Linked DNA regions of Schizosaccharomyces pombe. The gene in region 2 interacts genetically with the main gene of each other region. Each region holds a gene or a part of one and is shown on either strand. Other genes may lie near its edges. The genes, in order: dni2, prm1, fus1 and dni1.

Region 1 (3,009 bases), on a different chromosome or scaffold from region 2:
CCTTCTCTTTATGGCACTATATTATACGTGTCCATGTCAACTGGTATTGTAAAATCGGAGATTGGAGATATTGGAGCTCAGCAGTGGAAGACATTAGCACCTTCCGAGCGATGGATTCTTCGTACAAATATCAGAAAAGAATGTACATATGACATTCGATACAAACGACCTTATGTATCGTCGTTGAAATATTCCGATGATGATTTGACTGCTGGTCGTGCTTCTCCTATGACTGGTCCAACAAAACGCAAGTAAAGTTGAGTATTTTCCATCCCTTTTCAAAAATATCCTTTATTAAGTTATGCTACTTTTCTTTTCTTTTCTCTTTTTTTTATTTAAGTCTCCCACTTTCAATATATTATAATTAGATTACCAATCTTAGGCATATACATCTGATCGTTTGGTTCGTAACATTTGCAATTTTAGATTGTCTGTTTTCAACATTAGTTAATTTATATTTAATGGTTTATGATTCATTAAAAGCTAATTCTCAATACATTTTTGCTCAAATTAGTAATATGGTTTACAAAATCTTATTTATGTTTGTTTAATAGTCTTTGCAAATGAAGTATTGTGTTTCAATTAATCTTAATTTAGTAGTAATGCTGTTTTATGTGTTAATTAAATGAAATTTAGTTATAGTTTTAAAAAAGTCAAAAGGGTATCTGTCATATACGTTTAAAGAGTATCATAAGTGCGATTTTACTTAATAGTAGTCATTTCAATGTCGTCCAACATTCTTTTCGTAATAATTACAAGCTAAATGAGAGAGATGTTTCTTCAAATAACTTTTGCTTGTTTCGTTCAATAGTCCAAAGTCCCAAATGTATTAGCGAAAATAGCAAAAAGAATCCACTGGAAATCCACCCAAAAACTGCTGCAGCTACCCCAAATTTTGCTGTAGCTTTCCCAGTTAAATTCATTCCTACAGCATATGAATTAGCCGAAATATGAGCTAAAGCCATTTGGAGTGCTAAAAGCAAACAGGCGGCTGTACTAGTAGTTAAACAACTTATTGACCATTGGCGTATGTATGCAGGAGCCAAGTACTTTAAAATAGTCAAAACAATGGATAGTGTTGAAAATACAACAACAATCGCGAGGAGAACAGGATGAACTTGAAGCCACGCAAATCTCGAAGTTTCATATGCTAAACCACCAGTTGTTTGATCCCAATTTCGAAGCTCATGGCAAACTCGAGACGTTGAATTAATAGCTTGATCACACACTCCAAAGAAACCGACGTCTACGGTGGTTGTTTCATTCTTTACTCTTAGTAATCTCGCAAAAATAGATGATTTCGTTAAGCAGCTGCAACATAAAAATATTAAAAAAAGCCATGCAATTCCTAAAATAGCATTCGAAAAAATACTAGGATGAGGAATATAGTTGTATATTCTTGCAACAAGTCCAATCCAGCTGAATTTACTAGTTCCTCTTTCCATTCTTAAACCGTAATTTTAAATTGTTTACTTTAGCAAAATTAGTTTAGGGATAGAAGAACTATTATGGAATGTAAGTCTATTATAATACTTTGAAACAAAGAAATTTTTGACACGTAACTGTTATGTTTCTTTGTCTTCGAGGACAAAGAAATTATGAGTACTACACATACTTAATACCGATAAATGCTGTGCCGCCTTTCAATCAAATCAATTATTTATTATTTTTAAACCATCGTCATGATAAATGAAAAGATAGGTCCCTTGAAGTGTATAAGAGTAAACTGAATGAATAGGCGAGTAGTAGACATTATTGAGCAAATAATCATCGTAAAGAACCCAGTCTAAAAACTTCGCAACCAATTCCGTAAATTATCAAAAAATCATTATTTCGGATCATGCCACCCACATCAGCTACGTGAGTATATCTTTCCAGGATCGGTTTCAATGAATCACCCTCGACTTTCCATAGTAATATCCTTTGGTCAATGGATACACTCAGCAAAAGCTCTTTGGTAATTGATAAAACACCTGTAACACTGGAAGCATGAGCTTCAGCAAAAAAGTAGTTATGTAAAGAATTGACTACTACTGAATTTTCACTTATTTGTTCTAACAAAAGTATAGATCGAGAAATTGCACCATCATCACCACCCGTAGAAATCGTTAACACATCTTGATCCCTGCTAATATTTAATGACTTAACACAAAATTGATGCACTGTTTTTATCCAAATTATTAATGGCTCAATTTGAGGATCCCTCCAAAATGTGTTCCAAATAGCAACATTACCATCAGTCGAAGCAACCACCAACAATAAATGAGACCCGAAAATAACAGCCTCGGCAAAAACCAAACAAACTGTCTTATATTTCCAACTTTTTATACAATTTAGCTGCTTCGTATCTACGTTATAAGTGAATGCTTTGATAGTCGAATCGGACTGTACAGTATTAATCCATAACACTCTTTCACCCAGATGGGTTGCCTTTACAACAGAAATGTCAGTTATTCGAAGATCCCCATCGTAAGTCTTGTTACTTTTATTTGGTTTGCAGAGTTTTTCATGAACGATCCGTTTCAGATATGCCTCTGGCTTTTGTATTAGCCTATAAACATTTAACTCTTCAAGACCACCAGTGGAAAATAAAATATCATCGCTAAACCAGGTCAGCGATTGGATTCCTGAATTATGAAACTTGACAGAATTCAGAGGAATTATGTTTCCATTACTCTGAAACTCAAGCAGGGTTACTTTAGTATCTTCAGATCCTGATAATAAAAGATCCCCTGAAGGATTGAAATCCATTGCTCGAATCTCACGCCCATGCAAACCATTTTGTAATACAGAATTTCTTTGCAAAAGATTTAAAGCAGTGCTATAAATATAAAGTTGATTTGCTCTATAAGATGCAAAACTTTGAATGTCCATCTCCATTGAAAAAGCCCATGGACGATGACTACCTCCACAATCAATAAAGAAAACATTAGTTTCATTTGTCTCATCCCTTAAAAAAAAATTTGATGCATGAAAACCCCAAACCCATTGATTTTCCTTTCCATTTTT
Region 2 (7,772 bases):
TTCCAAAGATGTTACAGGTCCTATCGGTGCTCTGGACCTAATGACACCTACCCAAATGAATGTTCTTCCAGATCCAACTGTTGATCTTGATTGGAGTGGTTATCGTGGAGCCATTCAAGATATTTTCGCATCCAACGCTGCTAAATTCCCTGATAGAGAATGCATAGTAGTCACTCCTTCGGTCACAATTGATGCTCCTGTCACTAGTTACACGTATCGACAAATCGACGAGTCTTCTAACATCCTGGCTCACCATCTCGTAAAGAATGGAATTGAGAGGGGTGATGTAGTTATGGTTTATGCTTATCGAGGTGTGGATTTAGTTGTCGCGGTCATGGGTGTACTTAAAGCTGGTGCCACATTCTCAGTTATCGATCCAGCATATCCACCTGCTCGTCAGATTATATATCTGAGCGTTGCTAAGCCCAGAGCCTTAGTTGTTTTGGAAGATGCAGGTGTTTTGTCTCCCACAGTCGTAGAGTATGTTGAGAAAAGCCTTGAACTAAAAACTTATGTACCAGCTTTAAAACTTGCTAAAGATGGTTCTTTAACGGGAGGATCAGTCTCAAAAGGAGCTGACGATATCTTGCAACACGTTTTACACTTGAAGTCCGAACAAACTGGCGTTGTTGTAGGCCCTGATAGTACTCCCACACTTAGTTTTACTAGCGGAAGTGAAGGAATTCCTAAAGGTGTAAAAGGTAGACATTTCAGTCTTGCTTACTATTTTGATTGGATGGCTCAGGAATTTAATTTATCTGAATCAGACCGGTTTACGATGTTAAGTGGAATTGCTCATGATCCTATTCAAAGAGATATTTTCACACCACTTTTCCTTGGCGCATCCTTAATCGTACCCACTGCTGAAGACATTGGCACCCCTGGTCAATTAGCCCAATGGGCTAACAAGTATAAGGTTACTGTAACTCATCTCACCCCAGCTATGGGTCAACTGTTAGCTGCTCAGGCTGATGAGCCAATTCCTTCATTACACCATGCATTTTTTGTAGGTGATATTTTGACGAAACGTGATTGTCTTCGCTTACAAGTCCTTGCTAACAACGTTAACGTTGTTAACATGTATGGAACGACAGAGACTCAGCGTTCAGTTTCGTACTTTGTAGTACCTGCGCGGTCTCAAGATCAAACATTTTTGGAATCGCAAAAAGATGTCATTCCAGCCGGACGTGGCATGAAGAATGTCCAACTTTTGGTGATCAATCGTTTTGATACTAACAAGATATGCGGTATCGGAGAAGTTGGTGAAATATATCTTCGTGCTGGTGGATTGGCTGAGGGCTACCTTGGAAATGATGAATTGACTAGCAAAAAATTCTTAAAGAGTTGGTTTGCTGATCCCTCCAAGTTTGTAGACCGAACTCCAGAAAATGCGCCCTGGAAACCTTATTGGTTCGGAATACGCGATCGTATGTATCGTTCTGGTGACTTGGGCCGCTATCTCCCAACTGGTAATGTAGAATGTAGCGGTCGTGCCGACGATCAAATTAAAATTCGTGGTTTCCGAATTGAGTTAGGTGAAATTAATACCCATCTTTCTCGTCATCCTAATGTCCGTGAAAATATTACCCTTGTTCGACGTGATAAGGATGAAGAACCCACGCTAGTTGCATACATTGTACCTCAAGGTTTAAATAAAGATGACTTTGATAGCGCTACTGAGTCGGAAGATATTGTCGTCAATGGTTTGAAGAAGTACAGGAAGCTTATACATGATATACGGGAATATCTTAAGACTAAACTTCCTAGTTATGCTATTCCTTCTGTAATTGTTCCCCTTCATAAAATGCCTCTCAATCCTAATGGAAAGATAGATAAACCTGCTCTGCCTTTCCCAGACACATCACAACTTGCTGCCGCATCTCGTTCACATTCTAAACATGGAGTTGATGAAACTCTTACAGCCACTGAAAGGGATATACGTGATATCTGGTTGCGTATCATTCCACACGCTACTGATGTCAACAAAAAAGCAAGTTTCTTTGATATTGGAGGACATTCTATTTTAGCTACTCGCTTAATTTTTGAACTTCGCAAAAAATTTGCTGTGAATGTACCTTTAGGTTTAGTTTTCAGTGAACCTACTATTGAAGGTTTGGCCAAAGAGATTGAAAGAATGAAATCGGGTGAGATGATTAGCGTGATGGATATAGGCAAAGAAGAGACTAGAGAACCTGAAATTGAATATGGTAAAGATGCACTTGATTTAGTAGATTTAATTCCTAAAGAATTTCCAACCTCTAAAGACTTGGGTATTGATGAGCCAAAAACCGTTTTCTTAACTGGTGCTAACGGCTACCTTGGTGTCTTTATATTAAGAGACCTTATGACCAGAAGCTCTAACTTGAAAGTCATTGCCTTAGTCCGCGCCTCATCGGAAGAACATGGTCTAAAACGTCTTAAAGACAGTTGTACCGCGTATGGTGTATGGGATGAATCATGGGCCCAAAAAATTTCTGTTGTCAATGGTGATCTTGCTCTCGAAAACTGGGGTATAGAAGAAAGGAAATGGAACAAGCTTACTGAAGTCGTCGATTATGTTATTCATAATGGTGCCCTTGTACATTGGGTTTATCCATATTCTAAACTCAGAGGTCCTAATGTTATGGGTACAATTACTGCATTAAAACTTTGCTCTTTAGGAAAAGGTAAATCCTTGAGTTTTGTTTCATCCACATCAACTGTTGATACTGAGTATTACGTTAACCTTTCGAACGAAATTACTTCAAAGGGAGGAAATGGAATCCCAGAATCCGATCCTTTGCAAGGTTCTTCGAAAGATTTGCATACCGGTTACGGACAAAGCAAATGGGTATCTGAATATTTAGTAAGGCAAGCGGGATTACGTGGCCTTCGTGGTGTTGTTGTGCGTCCTGGATACATTTTAGGCGACTCCAAGTCTGGTGCTATTAATACCGACGACTTTTTGGTTCGAATGGTCAAAGGGTGCATTGAATTGGGTCTGTACCCGAACATCAATAATACTGTAAATATGGTTCCTGCCGATCACGTTGCTCGCGTGGTAACTGCCAGTGCTTTCCATCCCGAACAAGGAGTAATTGTTGCTCACGTAACTAGTCATCCCCGACTTCGTTTCAACCAATTCCTAGGAACTCTTTCCACTTTTGGCTTCAATACCAAGCTTTCCGAATACGTCAATTGGCGTATTGCTTTGGAGCGCTTTGTCATTAATGAGTCTCATGATAGTGCTTTGTATCCCTTACTTCACTTTGTGTTAGATAATCTTCCTGCTAATACAAAAGCTCCTGAATTAGATGATACAAACACACGTGAAATCTTGAAACGTGATGCATCTTGGACTAACGTGGATGTTTCTAATGGAGCTGCAATTTTGGAACATGAGATGGGCTTATATTTGTCATATCTGGTAGCTATTGGATTTTTGCCAAAACCTACTTTAGAAGGTAAAAAGCTTCCTGAAGTCAAAATAAATGAAGCTACTTTGGAGAAGCTTGCATCGGCTGGTGGTCGTGGAGGCGCTCCAACTCATTAGATTTATTAAGCAGTTAAATTATCCAAAATGAAAAATTTAGAATCTATGTAGACTTCTAATATCTATCCTGTTTTTCTTTCAATAAATATGTTGTCTCTTCACTTTCTGTTGTGATTGAGTTAAATTGTATATCTGAAATAATTGCCGGTGAGATGGGAATGTCAATAGCAAGGTCACTAGATAGGCTTATTAAACCCAAGGACCTTTTATAGTCTATGCAGTCATCTTCTTCATATTGAAAATTTTGGAAATCATAAACGTGCGATTCTCGGGGAGGAATAGGAGGAGGCCTACACGACTTCGTAACAGGAAAAGCTAACGATTGTACTGGTAAAGTAATGTTCTCCTTTGGATTTGGAATAACTAAATCTAGAAGGCTAAGGAATAATGATTTGAGCCAAGATGATAAAACACCAATTAAGCCGAATGCACAAATCAATAACCAAAGCAAAAAAAATAGGAAAGAAAAATTTAGCTCACTTATTACTGACTTTTCAACTCTATCAAAGATACCAGAGAAACTCACTGTGCTGTTTGATGAATTTAGTGAAGAATATAAAGAAGAATAGATAGTTTGGTTATCTATAGATTTGCTTAAAATATCAGTAGGTAAAAGAGGTAATTCAATATGGGATTTGTTATAAACCCAAGTCAAAACTATTGGTTAGATTAAATTTGAAAGACTAGTATAACAAACCTTCTTCAAAATTCTCAATTTTTCTGTAAAGCAAGCAATTCATAACATTTTGTACGGTACTTGCAAGAAAGGTGTCTCCAAACGCACTTGTCATTGACGAATTCAGTTCATTCATAAACGTATTCAGCGTAGAGTTCAAAGAAAGTGTAGTATTATGAATGGAACCAAACATATTGTTATTGATGTTTTCTTGATTTTTTAAAATAATTTGGTTAGTTGAATTAGCCCATGCTACTGAAACATTTGCTAAAGCAGATTCAACTTTATGAAATGAATTTTGCGCTAGAGCACTGATTACTGAACCATCTTCACGAATATTGTTGAGAAGTACCAGCTGTAGAATGCCAGAAATAAAGGAAGTGCAACTAATAAAAAGAATCATTGCGGCAGGGGGATGAAATATATATGTGATGAACCATCGAAGTTGCACACTTAAAAAACAAGGTAAAGGAAGAGCTGAAATAAAATATTTTAAGTTCCAGGAAATAGGAGACTCTATATAGGAAATTAGGTCACGGGTATCTTCAAATTTATTACTTCTTATGTGTTCGTCCAGAAGAAATGCTTTGTGTCTAATTCTACACCATTTCCAAATTTCATAAATCGAAGAAATCAAAAACAATCCCGCAATTATAATTAGCAAAGAAATGATGACAACTTTCCTGATCTTATATATAGAACTTAGAATAAATGATGAAATAGCCGTCAGATCATCAGTCGAACAAACCACTACATGTGTTTTATTTGGAGAAGAGACCATACTAGTGTCAAACGAATAGTTGCTAACTTTTTCAAGGATAAGATTCCGAGCAGAAGAAAACGGTTTGCTAATGGCCGCTTTTGTTGCATTAATGGCACTATCAAAATTAACACCAGCCTTTAACTTCTCAAATTCTGTATCATATGAAGAAGATAAAGTGAAGTTTCGGAGAGACTGGATTTCAGGAATAGAGACATTTGGCAGGTTGATGTCTTCCCCTAGCCAAGAGGCAACTTTCTCCAGCGAATCTTCTGCACTTTGGAAAACTTCGTTTAAAGAAGAGACTGTATCTTCAATTTCATCTGCAATCGCATGCAATGTATCATTTACCGCAGTTCCTATCTCTTCACCGACATCAGCAACTGCATCCAAGATGCCATCGATTGCCAGCTGAATAAGACAAAGATAGGTACCATAGCTAAACTCGATAAAGAAAATAAACACATTTTCAGCAGCAATGAGACTGTCTGATATTCCAGAAAGAATGATCTTAACTGTACTTTGAATGCCATCTTTCGCAACCCTAACAGCCGCATTAGCAATTAAGGATGGGCTATCAAGGAGAATGTCGACTTTTTCTTGTATGTAGTTACAAGTAGCTTGTTCATCATTGACAAAATCTCCTATTTTTGTGTTCAAATCCTTGGTAAATAAGAAAAACTGCATGAGAATATAGAGACAGCATAATGACCAGGGTGATATCCAACACTGTGAAAGCCTCGCTGCCAAACTAAGATATGAAGACGCCATTACAGGCTGTTCGATCTCTGCCTTGTAATAAATGTGTTAGACGGTTTTGCATTTCTTTGTTTAGACATTTTCGAAAGAACAAAGAAACTCAGAATTAAACAAAGAATTACCATAAAAGAAGTGGAAACTGTAAATGGCTTAGAAACAGCATTAAATGAAACATAAAATAAAAACAACAATCATGTTGAACTGTTAATAATAGTATTTAGAAAAATCAGATATATATGCGAATCCTGTAATAGTTGAATAACAGACAATTAAAGTAGTTGTCAATGCATTACAAGGGGCATCGATAATATCTATATTCATACAGCTTTGCATTTAAACAAACATAAACTAGGAATTTCTAGATTTCAAAAAATCGATCCCGCCAGGAGTCGAACCTGGAATCTCTTGATCCGTAGTCAAGCGCCTTAACCATTGGGCCACGAGACCTGCTATTATATTGCAGTCTTCGATAATAAATTTATATTTTATCTTTTTAATTAAGCAAATAAGTATAATTTTGCTTTTTTTTTATTTTTATGTTTTATTTAGTAAATTGTTTTAATATTATGTACCAAAATTTGATTGATTCTTAAATATTATAAACTTTTCAACATTATTTAATGTTAAAAATGTTACTGCATATACATGTTATAGCAGTTATAGCAGTCAATAATAAAATATAACTGTACTTATTTTATAAGCTAACTAGCAATTTATTCTGATAGAACAGAATCTGAAACATTCTTTTAATTGAATGGAGTTCGATTATTTTTAAGAAATTGCCTGCATGCTCTATGGATTGTAATAAAATGGAAACAACCATACACAAGTTCACAGATCAATGAAAAAAAAAATAATAATAAACTGAGCATGGCCAGAAGATATAAAAAAAAAGCTATAACAATGGCTACCACTTGTTAAATGAGTAATTGATATTTTTTATCATTTTATTTTCTGAAAACTTATATTTATGGCAGAGAAAGGCTATGATACAATTCGAAGACTACAGCTAAAGAGTAAAATAAGAGGATAAAAAAATTTCATAAATATCATATATGAGTGCTTTATAACTCATCCGAAAAGTGAATTTTCACCTTAAAACCTCCTATATTATATGGAGAAATCGAAAAAGGAGATATCTGAAATATTACGAGCGATACATTGCTGCACTAAAATTCGTTATAAACAATAGTGTATGCGCATTACATTGGTCTATCTTTAAAAGGCTACATTTTTTTTCGCAAGGATTTAGCAACTTCACCATACTAGTACTTTGTGCCATTTAGGGGTTACCAGTGGTCATTGCCAGTTGCCATAAAGATTCCAACTTCATTAGATTAAAAGAGACTTAATTTTAATTACTCATCATGAGTTCCACTGAAGTGCCCGGGGAAGTCTCTACTTCTGTAAGTTTGCTTGTTAGCATCATTACTGATCTGAATATCAAAGGTTTCTTCATATTTTGATACCATTTTAATTCTTGACTTTGGGTACGTTTTAAAAATTATATTAAAATGAATTTGATTGTGATTGAAGGAGTTTCGCGCTTGTGATATATTAGTTGTGAATTTTTTATCTCTTCTCTGATCAATTCTTCAATGAGCCTATTTTTTATCTCATAAAAAATAAAAATGGCTCTAGTAGTGGTCTTTTCGACTTCCTGATTCGTTTGTACTAACCATAATTGTAGCTCTCAGTATAGTCATTTGATTGCCAGACGTCTTCGTGAGATTCACGTGTATGCAGAGTTACTTCCTTGCACTCAAAAAATAGAAGCTCTCCCATTTAAGCCTATTGGTGTTATTTTGTCTGGCGGCCCCTATTCTGTTTACGATGACATTGCACCTCATGTGGATCCTGCTGTCTTTGAACTTGGTGTTCCTGTACTCGGTATTTGTTATGGCATGCAAGAAATTGCATGGTTGAATGGACGTTGTGTTGAACCAGGTATCGAGAGAGAGTACGGTCCAGCTACAGTTAGTATGGAACCTGAAATCAAAACCGAGGTCTTCAAAAGCTTTTTTAACTCCATGCCAAAAGAATTT
Region 3 (7,227 bases), 1.1 Mb from region 2:
ATATAGATCTTCGTTGGCGAATGCATGCAGTGTCCGATGGTGAAAGACGACGTGTTCAACTATGTATGGGACTTCTGCGTCCATTTGAAGTACTTTTACTTGATGAAGTAACTGTAGATTTGGATGTTCTTGCCCGGGCAGATTTGTTAAATTTTTTGCAAGAGGAAACGGAAGTAAGGAATGCTACTATTGTTTATGCAACACATATATTTGATGGTTTAGCTGAGTGGCCAACTCACTTGGTCCATCTCAGTCTTGGGCGTATCGTGGATTATGGACCAATATCCAAGTTTGGTGCTCTGATGACAAGGTCCTCTACGGGAAATAGCGCCCTTCTAGAGACATGTTTGGAATGGCTCAAAGAAGACAAAAAAAATAGGGGAACTCGAGAAGAGGAAAAGCGTAGTACCTGGGACGACGTTCAAGAATCATTAAAAGTTGGAACTGATGTATTTACTGATTACTTTAAGATTTCCCGAGCAAAATAGATTACTAGAAAAGTTATCCTTTAGATGCTTAATTCTATCTTTAACAAGCATTACAGTCTTACTAGAATTAATAATTATACCTTTTATTAATTATAATTTCATTATAATTTGTTTAAGTCATTTAATTGTCATTAAAAGTCATTAACATTTCAAACATCATTATCTCTTAAGTTCATTGTTATTCTCCAGCTGCTTAAGCATGCATTCAGCTTTAAGGACGACTGTTTGTCTCTTTTTATTTGAGCCTTCTAGAGTTTGTTTATCATTTTCATAATTCATTAGAGTTTCGATTGTTTGTTTCGATGATTCAGTGCAATCGGTTTTGTTGCTTAAAGAATCATCACACAAACCTTTCTGTAGCTGAGATATTAAATTTTCCATTGTTGCTGAAACTTCCTCATTCTTTGAAGAACCACTATTTTCTGCATTATTGCTTTTAACAGATGCTTTTAAAGCTTGTAGTCTTAGAAAAGCAAGTTCTTCTTCCTTCTCCATCTTCTGATTTACAGTGCTAGCCTTTTTGTACTCCAGTATTATTTCGTTTAAATTATTGAAAAACCTAGCACTCGATGTAGGTTCATCTGGATTTTCACCATACATTAAGAGAGTTGTTTTAAGGGTTGTTTTTAGTTCAGTAATATCAGAATTAAGTTCATCCACCATTGATTTTCCTGATGGAATCCATGGAACCATGACTTCACAGATATGGTCATCAGGATGAAGAGCTTTATGATTCGAAAAAATGCCTTCATTGCTAAAGTCCTTTTCAACATTTTTCATCCGTTCACAAATATCATTACAATCCTGCTCCAACTGCTCCAAATTAAATCTGGAAATCTCGGGAATGGCTTTCAAATCCACGAGAAAAGCTTCCAATTGTGGAAAGTGAGTCCGAACTATTTTTTCAATAGTATGAAGAAGTGTTAATCCTGTTTTGTCATTTTTAATCATGGAAGCTCTTAGTAAACTTTCCAATCGATACCCTTTAGCTCGACGGGGTGCATCATTCATAAAATTGCCAATATGAAGGACCAAATTTAAAAAATACTTGAAATGCAAACTAGATTTCAACTCTAAAGAAGCACAATGAAGTTTCCTTATTTGTCTTCTAAAATCCCTAAAGTTGTTGGCCAGAAACGATTTGATTTTTAAAGCTGCCATTCTTTTTTCGTAATAAGTATCAATGTCAACAACAATTAACGTATAAATTTGATCGAAACGAGACAATTCTAAAAGCTTTTCACTTACTTCCATTACCTCTTCGTTTCGAGATGACATATAAGGCTTTAGTTGCTTTTTAAGACCTTCTTGTCGAAAAAACTTTCGGTCATTAAAAAAATCGACTAGTTCCATGATATCATGGTCGCAATGAAAAAATTTTTTGGCAATTTCAATTGGTGTCAAGGAATTGAATCTATGCAAACGAATACTAACCATTTGCTGTAAATCAACTGGCATAAATCCGGTATATTCCTTAACTTTTTTATTGGAAACTGTTACTTCTCTCAATGGATAACAATCTTCGAGTTGCTTAAAAATCCCTTCCGCAGTAAGTTTTAAAGTTAATAAATAAGGATCTGCAACTACAATATTCCATAGAGTTTTTTCGAAAGGAACTTCGAGGCGTTTCCAATGAAGCTGCTTTAGCCGTTTAGAAGGATTGCATAGCTCACCAGGAATTTTGCTTGCATACACTTCAGACTCTGAACCTGAACAGAATTTAAATATGTCATCGATTGAAATATTTTCGGGAATAATTATCGTCTTCCGAAAAATTTGTGAATCATTTTTTTCAAATTTCTGGAGAGAAGACATTGCAGTTGGTAAAGGAGGTGCAGGAGGTGGTAATGGTGCAGGAGGTGGAGCTTTGAATGGATTCCCATCAATAACTTCTTTGATTCTCATATTTTCTATTTTAGAAAACCTCTTGGTATCAGTTATGGAAAATCGGCCATAGTACGACTTTCGATAGTCTAAGGGAAGATCACTAACAACATCAATCCTTTTTGGATTAAAAACCTTGTGTTTTGAAGTTTCCATTTTTTCTGCTAAGTTAGCACTTTTTATTTGTGTTCCTGGCATACTCAGATGAACCTCAAAAGAATGCGTTGAAACAGCGGAAGATGGCTCGGATTTTAAAGTGATTGAGTTTGCTTTAGCTAGATCTAATTTGCAAAGTTTTAATTTTTCATCCTGATTTGGTTGAAAAAGCAGTTTAGGTTTTATCCTTGGTGAAGCAAAAGCACTAACGCTAGAGGTAGTGTTCACGGGTTGAACCCAATCTCTGTTTCCATTTCCATTCACATTGTTTTTAGAAATTAAATACTCTTGGTCACGATCTTGCAGTTTACTACTTGATCGGTTCAATAATCGAAGAATTTTGGTATCTTCGGAAATGTATGAATCGCGCGTACGCGTCAGTAAGTGCTTTAGTTTACTAAAAATTTTTTCGGCTGAAAAGGAAGATTGAGGATCAAACTCTGATGGAAACAACAAACACAAACAATCAAAGATATTTTTCAGATCGGTTTCATACTTCGAACTTTCCACATACTTTCTTTCGGAATTCTCATATCCTTGATTTGTAGTGTTATTAGTATCACCAGTAGCATAAAGTTCTGATTTGGAGACGCTGTATTCATTATCATCAGTATTATCATATGATGCGACAACTTTTTTGCTATTGGTAGTACCGTAGCCAGACGTAACACTTGAGTACCCCGGAGCGTTGTTCCCTTGCTCGTTTCCAATCTTTAATTCCTTATAAAAGCAATCAATATCATTATTTGAATTACCATTCCCTTTATCAGCTTGTAAAGTAAGCACTAAACAATCAAGTAACTTTATAATACGGACGGGGTTGTTGTGCTCTTTCAAAAGTTTTAAAAAATTTTTAATATGCTCTTTAACCATAAATTCGAAATTTGCATCATTAAACATGTTTGTGTTTAAAAGGGATTGATGAGCAGCAGAATTTGGAGTGTGCTTTAAAAAATGTTTCTCATTAGCAGTGTCTAATGATACGAGTTTCACGCATTTCTCGAGTTGTTTTAATACTCCTTCATCATTTATTTTTTTTAGAATGAGTAAAATGCTTTTGAAATTCCCTATTCTCAAGGATTCCTTGAACTGGAGTAAAGCAGTTTTAGATGGGATATTTTCAAGAAATGCATTTATAAGAAGCATTTGTGAAATGATATACTCAATAGTTATTTTATCATGTAAGGCCGCTTCTTCTAGTACTTTCTTTTCTTCAGTAACAACTTTCTCTAAGAGTGTTCTTTTCCATTGAGAAAGCCATAAATCAAAGACGTTCATAGACTCGACTTTCAAATTTGCAAAGTTTTTCATACATTTCATAATTGCGTTGATTCCGTTCGGCTTTTCTGAGTAACAAAGAAAAGTAAGTAATTCGGCAGCTAGTTTCCTTACTAGTAATTTAGTTGACAGGAGGCAGTGAACAACTGAATCGATAGGATACTTATTACTCAGATAGAAATCAGTCCCAATCTTCTGTCCTATAATACACCTCATGCTTTTGAGGATTGCAATTTCTAAAGTTATGTCAGGACTTTTTAGATGTTTCTTCTCATGAATTGCCTGCAATATTTTAGCAAGTACTATGTGTCCACCCATCAAAAGAAAATATCGAACCCAGGTAACTGATTCGGTTCTCAATGCAACCGCCAAAGATTCCACGTACTTGAGCTTCAACGGTGTACAGCTTAACTTTTCAATATAGGAAATGACGGATGCCTTGACATTTAGTTCAGAATCGTTTGATGATATTTTTAAAAATTTATCGTTTCTCGATAAATAGCCAGTGATGAAAGACCATTTGTTTTCTTGAGAGAGTGTAACGTTCGCGTCCCAATGAAACTGCTCACCAGAATCAGATTTTTCTTCGCGTAATCTTTTTAAAACATCATCGAATAATTCATTCACTAAATTCGGGTCATCCGGACATAGAAGCGCTTCGCCTGGTACATATGAATCGGTAAATCCAACAGGTCTTTTTGATAAATTGTTGCAATGAATATCCGGAATAGTGTTTTTTTTGTTTTCAATACTCACAAATAGTGAAGAGTAATCATTTGTAATACGAAGGTCTGTTTTCTTTACGCTTTGGTTTTTTAATCTGCTTCGCGATAATGCTTTTGCTTCGACTTTTTCATATGGGTCAGTGTGTAAATCAATGTTTGTTAGAGACCCAAACGATGAAATTTCTTTAACAATTGGTTTAGAGATTCTGATACCTTTAAAACTAGCCGTCATCATTAACAAGCAATAGCTAAAAAAGGTGAAACCATCAATAATATGTCCTATAATTACAGAAACAAGGTTTTTTGCTCGTAAACAATCCTTTTTGAGTTCAGATATAAGAAGTAAGGTAAAAGACTTACTAGAAAATTACTGAGTATTTAGAACATAACTTTCTTTGTTCGGTTTAACCGACGTAATATGATTCAAAGCAACAATTACATATGCAACGATCCATTTTATTGTACCCGTTAAAGAACAAAGAAATACTAACTGTGTTCGAAAACTATTTAGTTTTCCGATAAGTTCAAGCTCAAACACAAACGTAATTGGAAAGCGACAACTTGAAAGTAGTCCATATCAGAATTAACTGAATAATGCTGGAAATAAGTTTAGTGTCCATTCTAGTTTATATTTATTAATAAATGTTTTTTAAAAGACATTGAGAGGGTGGCGTACATACTGTGTCTTTAGAATAAGGCGCCTAATGAAGTGCTAGTTTACTATCACGCTAAAATTAAACAATCGCTTCTGCTGTTTAATTTATAGCTTGATTGATATTTGTTTTCCATAAATGAAAGACAGTTTGATTAAAAAGGATAAACATTTTGAGTACAAGATCAAGATCAAGAAAACTTAAAAAAATCAATCAGACTGTTGAACTGAAAACTAGCAACGAAAAAATGTACAAGATGAACTTTCAATTTAATATATTAAAATAAGAAAAATCTTTAATGCAGACTACTCTTTCGCACCTAAAAGCTCCAAAAACCATTCCAAGAGCATGGAAGATAACTCACTATAAACAAATCATAACAGTGGATAAACATAAAACGTAGGAAATATAAACATAAAATAACATAAACAACTAAATCTTGTCAAAAGCGAATTGTAAAAACAATTGAAGCAGTCCAAAGTAGTTCGTAACTAATACTAACAGTCGTAATTGGGGTTTAAAACTCGAAGTATGTTTAGTTCTGCTTTCAAATTGTTATTTCGTTTCTCAGCATCTTCCAATAAAGCTTGATATACATGAAGCTCATTGACTACCAAATCATGAAATAGATTGCTAGTCAAAAGTTGAGCAGCAGTTGGGCGCTTATTCGAAGAGCTGAGCATTGACCGGATTAAGCTAGCTTCCTCTGGCATGGAATCCAAGAAATCATGGGGGAAAATGCCCTTTTTTAAATTGGCGATAGCTGATGCCCTTTCCATGCGCGTGTTAAAAGGATACAGTAATTCAAAAAAGAGTATGCCCAATGCATATATGTCAGTAGACGAGTTGTTATTCATTACCGATCGCATGTGTTTTGAGAAAAGTTCAGGAGCTGCATACGTACTTGTACCGACAAAAGAAGATTCAGCTGAGGAGTTGGTCCCCTCTTCCAAATTATCTGACTGAGAAAGAACAAGACCGAAATCGCCTATCTTGGGCACAACACATAAAGTTCTTTGGTTCACTGGTTCGTACGCATTGCTAACCTCAACATTATCTTCATCAGAAAAATTAGGTAGACACACAGAGCAAGGCTCAGAATGTACACCACTAGATAGAAAAATATTTCGAGGTTTCAAATCACGATGGACTAAATGCATAGCATCGTGAAGATACAAAACGCCCTCTAAAATCCTTGCAAACAGTAAAATATAACAGTTACGTAGGCCTTTAGACATTACACCGTGAATATGCTTATTTCGTCTGTTTATGTGTTTCTCGAGTGTTTCTTCGCAAAGAGCCATTTGTATGTACAAACATAAGGGCTGTTGATCAAAGCTGGGAATATTGGAACATTCATCTTCCTCTCTTTCGGATAGAAATGAATCCATAAGTAACATTTCAGAAGCTGACTTCGTTGGCGCCAACTTTCCTAATGTGTCGACTTGTGATGTTGTTGAAGAACAATCATGTGACTCGGCATAATCCTGATCGGCCTCTTTCTTGAAAAGATCAGTCAAGTTGCAAGTCGAATTTTTGGTAGAGTAACAAGGAGTTAAATCATCTGCAACCGAGTCCTCTTGGAATAGTATCTGAACTGATGAAGGATAAGTATGCTGAAGTAACCCAGTATCCATATCAAACATAAAATTATCTATATCTGCTGATTGAGATAATGTCTCATCTGCCGAAGCTAAAGGTTCTTCTTCGATTTGCTTTTCAGATGACGGTAAGAGCTCGACCCAACTAGAAAAGAATCTTATCACATTGGGATGGTTTAATCTTGCCAAGGTCCTAGATTCACGGAATATGTTAGAAGAAGTGGAGAAAGAACGTAACCGAAGTGGAATTTTTTTTAAAGCATATTCAACTCCATCGAATTTATTTCGAGCTTTATACACTGAACCATAACCGCCTTTACCAAGTAACTCAAGTTCTTCAAAATCACTTGCATATCTTGACCTTTGGACTGTGGGAAAGCTATCAAAGTTGCTAAAAGACAAGTTACCGGTTCCATCTTTGTGCTCACAAAAATCAGCAAAC
Region 4 (3,184 bases), 740 kb from region 2:
TTTTAATTTCTTTCTATCAGCTACGATTGTAAGATACGAAAAAACTGTTACAGAAGTATACAGTTGATCAGATTTATGCAAAAAATCAATTGAAGAATGTATAATTTGTAAAGATGCGTATGTATATAGGTTCTAAATAAAAAGACTATGGAAAGAGAATGTATATGATTGTTTTAATCGATATTAGTCATTGATAATGAAATATTAAACAGCTTTATCTTGACTTGAATATATGAGCTTTTGACATGAAAGTTTCAAGTGCGGTAAGTAGAAATGAGTGCAAAAGAGAAATGAAGTAAAGTGCAGTGTGAAAACATATACATAAATAAACCAAGATGAGATTAATCGTAAAAAGAGGCGTTAAGAAAATCATAAAAAAAGCGGAACGTGAAAAAACGTAAAAACAAAAAACAAGTACAGATGAATACAGTTGCCATAATGTAATATAACAAGGTGAGAAAGGTCATATCTTCTCAAAACAATAATAGTTGAGGCGCATAATTTAATACTTTGTTGTTGAGGATTTGCTAGAAAAGGATGAACTAGGGGTAAGGACTTTGCTTTTTTCCAGTATCGTCTTACGAATCTTCTTGGTTCTTGAAGTAACCAAAAGAATAATAGAATCCGTGATACCTGTTAATGTCACAAGTCCCATAGAACACCATAAAAAGATCATAGCCTTTTTGCCTAGAGATGCAGTAACTCGATTTTGTGTTCCATTTCCAACAGCCATCACAAAAGAGGAGACAGCAACGTGAGCAAACAAAGCAGTTACTAGTATACTAAAAAAGGAGAAAAAAGAAAGGCTTATACGAATGTTTCTCAGGAATTCCAAACGCCCTATTAAGGGAAGGCTGGAAACAACACCCATAAGAAATGAAACACCGCATACGCAAAATGAAAAGACAATCATCCAAGGGTGAACTTCATTGATTAGAAATTTAGACCTTACATCCGTTAAGCTAATGGAAGTCAACCCAGGACAACCAGTAAATTGAGGTTTGCAGATCAGCGTCGCATTAGCAGAAAGTACACACATGTTAAAATACCCAACGTTAATTTGGGCTACGTTAGTTGCAAGAGAAAACAACTGGAATTTCGAGGTGGTACTAGATTGGCAACCTGTCATTACTAGTGCAAGTAAAATCCATGCAGCTAATGTGCAAAGAGTTCCAGTTCCTTGTACAACTGAATGAAGAAACAGCATGGTGATTAAATGTAGATGTTTGTTTGTCCTTGATACAAAAACTCTTTTCGTCAACTGGTTTTTTTGAATGAATAGGTTGAATGTTTTTTAAAAAAAGGTAAATTATTTGACGTTCGTGAAAGCCTTCAGTAAGCAAAAATATAGGCAAATCCTGAAGTAAAATTAAGGAGATTTAATCACAACAGAATTATCTCAAATGGCTTTTTGCGATGCTATGAAGGGAAGTAGCTTGAAAAGACGAACAAGGAAGATCCAAGCCAGGTTTTAAAGTAAACAAAAAAATTATTAATGACATAATATATTTCTAAGCTTTCTTTCAAAAATCTGCTTTTTTCATTGTCTTCGTGTTTTCTTTGTTCCCGAGAACAAAGAGTTCGTCAATGGTCATTCGACTCTATGAGGAATACGCAGCGGGCATATCTTTGAGAAAAAAAAGTTTCCATAGCAAAAGCCCCAAGGTATGATGTTTCTTGTCGCAAGGAACAAAAAAATATTTAGATCCCACTGGTAGCGTATGACTCAATTGCGATTTTAAAAAGGGCTCGGGCAGTATTTGTAACAACGATATAAACGATTGACGAGGATAGAGTTTTCTAAAAGAGAGAAACTTTTTCAATTGATTAATTTCTTCTAAATTCCATTGCACCCATATGCCACCATTCGAAATGTTAGGTCTCCTTAGACAATCTTGTAAAATTTTAATATCATTACAATGTAAATGATTCTGAGTTGAAGTTTCTTTTAATGAGGATATTTCTTTTAACAAAGAGTCCTGTAATGACTCAAGTATGTATCTTTTTATATCAGGACAATTCAAATTATTTAATTCCATGTTCCAGCGCTTGAAAATGCGCTTTGACGGCGGTTGCAAGTATCTATCCGATAATAAGCAGTATAAAGAAACATGTTTATTATGTAAATGGTTTTTTCCTTCTAATGGCAACAAACAAAATTTTCGAGGATTTGTATCCTTCCTTGCAGGAAACTTCGCTAATAGCTCTATATTGTCAGTAAGCCGAACATTAAAACTAACTAAAAAAGAAGATTACCTCTGGGAAATAAAAAGTGCGTTGCCAAGTCTTGTCTTAAAGGAGAGCTTAGGATGCTTATCAAAGGATCATTTTTCGAAATAATTTTTTTTATTGTCATTGTGAATACTTTGCAGATGTAGTAAATAGTATGGATCAGAAATAAACTCCCCACCCCAATCCTAACCAATTTGACTTCTAAATTAGGTTGTAGGATGACTTGTGATATACTTTTTCTTACTAAGCTGTGAAGCGTTGCATATAAAAAATAAGCATCATACTTTTTGGTCAGAATTAGTATGGTAAGCCGAGTTCAACTATTGAGACCTATTTACTATGAAAGACAATCTAATTAAAATTTCAGAAGCTTAAAATCATAAATATTATAAGTCTTATTTTTTATTAGGCATTTCACCTATTGACCGATTTGTACAGTACGACTGTTTCATGCTGCTTACCGACATATAAACTTTTCTATTTTTCATAAACATATCACATTTAACCTTCAAATACACTTATAATGAGGAGTATTTAGCGGTCACTTGATAGTACTGATAAAATTAACTTTACATCAGCTCCACCGAAACCTCACTTTACTATATACCAAATACTCTTCCTCAAGGACTCAAAAAATTTTGTATTTAGGACTCAAAAATGGTACAGGCAAAAATTGCTCCGTCTTTGTTAGCAGGTACGAATATTTTGAGTGTTTGATTCAAGTATTAACACACGTTAGGCGACTTTGCCAATCTTGAAAAAGAGGTTGGCCGTATGCTTAAATATGGTAGCGATTGGTTACACGTAGATGTTATGGACGCACAGTTTGTTCCTAACCTGACCATCGGACCCATTGTTGTGAAAGCTATGCGTAACCATTACACCAAGGAGGAGGCCTTTTTCGATTGTCATTTGATGGTTATTGAACCCGAAAGATATATTGATCAGTTGG

The links.
Region 1: of prm1 (region 2) and dni2, changing one enhances a phenotype caused by changing the other (phenotypic enhancement), as found in Schizosaccharomyces pombe (one study listed by BioGRID).
Region 3: of prm1 (region 2) and fus1, changing one enhances a phenotype caused by changing the other (phenotypic enhancement), as found in Schizosaccharomyces pombe (one study listed by BioGRID).
Region 4: of prm1 (region 2) and dni1, changing one enhances a phenotype caused by changing the other (phenotypic enhancement), as found in Schizosaccharomyces pombe (one study listed by BioGRID).

The regions. Positions count from the first base shown.
Region 1 is NC_003423.3:1,182,863-1,185,871, reverse strand, and holds dni2 (claudin-like protein Dni2), read right to left. Parts: upstream 1,446-3,009; coding exon 757-1,445; intron 606-756; coding exon 548-605; downstream 1-547. Other genes in the region: SPOM_SPBC4.02C (rRNA methyltransferase), read left to right, coding at 1-255; protein Trm734, read right to left, coding at 1,768-3,009.
Region 2 is NC_003424.3:3,734,922-3,742,693, reverse strand, and holds the start of prm1 (conjugation protein Prm1), read right to left. Parts: upstream 6,011-7,772; 5' UTR 5,740-6,010; coding exon 4,230-5,739; intron 4,190-4,229; coding exon 3,588-4,189; 3' UTR 3,533-3,587; coding exon of another isoform or gene 1-3,532. Other genes in the region: lys1 (aminoadipate-semialdehyde dehydrogenase), read left to right, coding at 1-3,532; GMP synthase Gua2, read left to right, coding at 7,095-7,133, 7,177-7,217, 7,418-7,772. UniProt on the Schizosaccharomyces pombe protein: Involved in cell fusion during mating by stabilizing the plasma membrane fusion event.
Region 3 is NC_003424.3:4,812,578-4,819,804, forward strand, and holds fus1 (formin Fus1), read right to left. Parts: upstream 5,210-7,227; 5' UTR 4,767-5,209; coding exon 648-4,766; 3' UTR 534-647; downstream 1-533. Other genes in the region: CCR4-Not complex subunit Caf16, read left to right, coding at 1-488; eIF2 alpha kinase Hri1, read right to left, coding at 5,682-7,227. UniProt on the Schizosaccharomyces pombe protein: Required for cell fusion. It associates with the pre-zygotic projection tips in conjugating cells.
Region 4 is NC_003424.3:2,995,476-2,998,659, reverse strand, and holds dni1 (tetraspan protein, claudin Dni1), read right to left. Parts: upstream 1,208-3,184; coding exon 503-1,207; downstream 1-502. Other genes in the region: rrg8 (protein Rgg8), read right to left, coding at 1,602-2,206, 2,257-2,356; rpe1 (ribulose phosphate 3-epimerase), read left to right, coding at 2,890-2,926, 2,972-3,184. UniProt on the Schizosaccharomyces pombe protein: Cell membrane protein which plays a relevant role in coordinating membrane organization and cell wall remodeling during mating.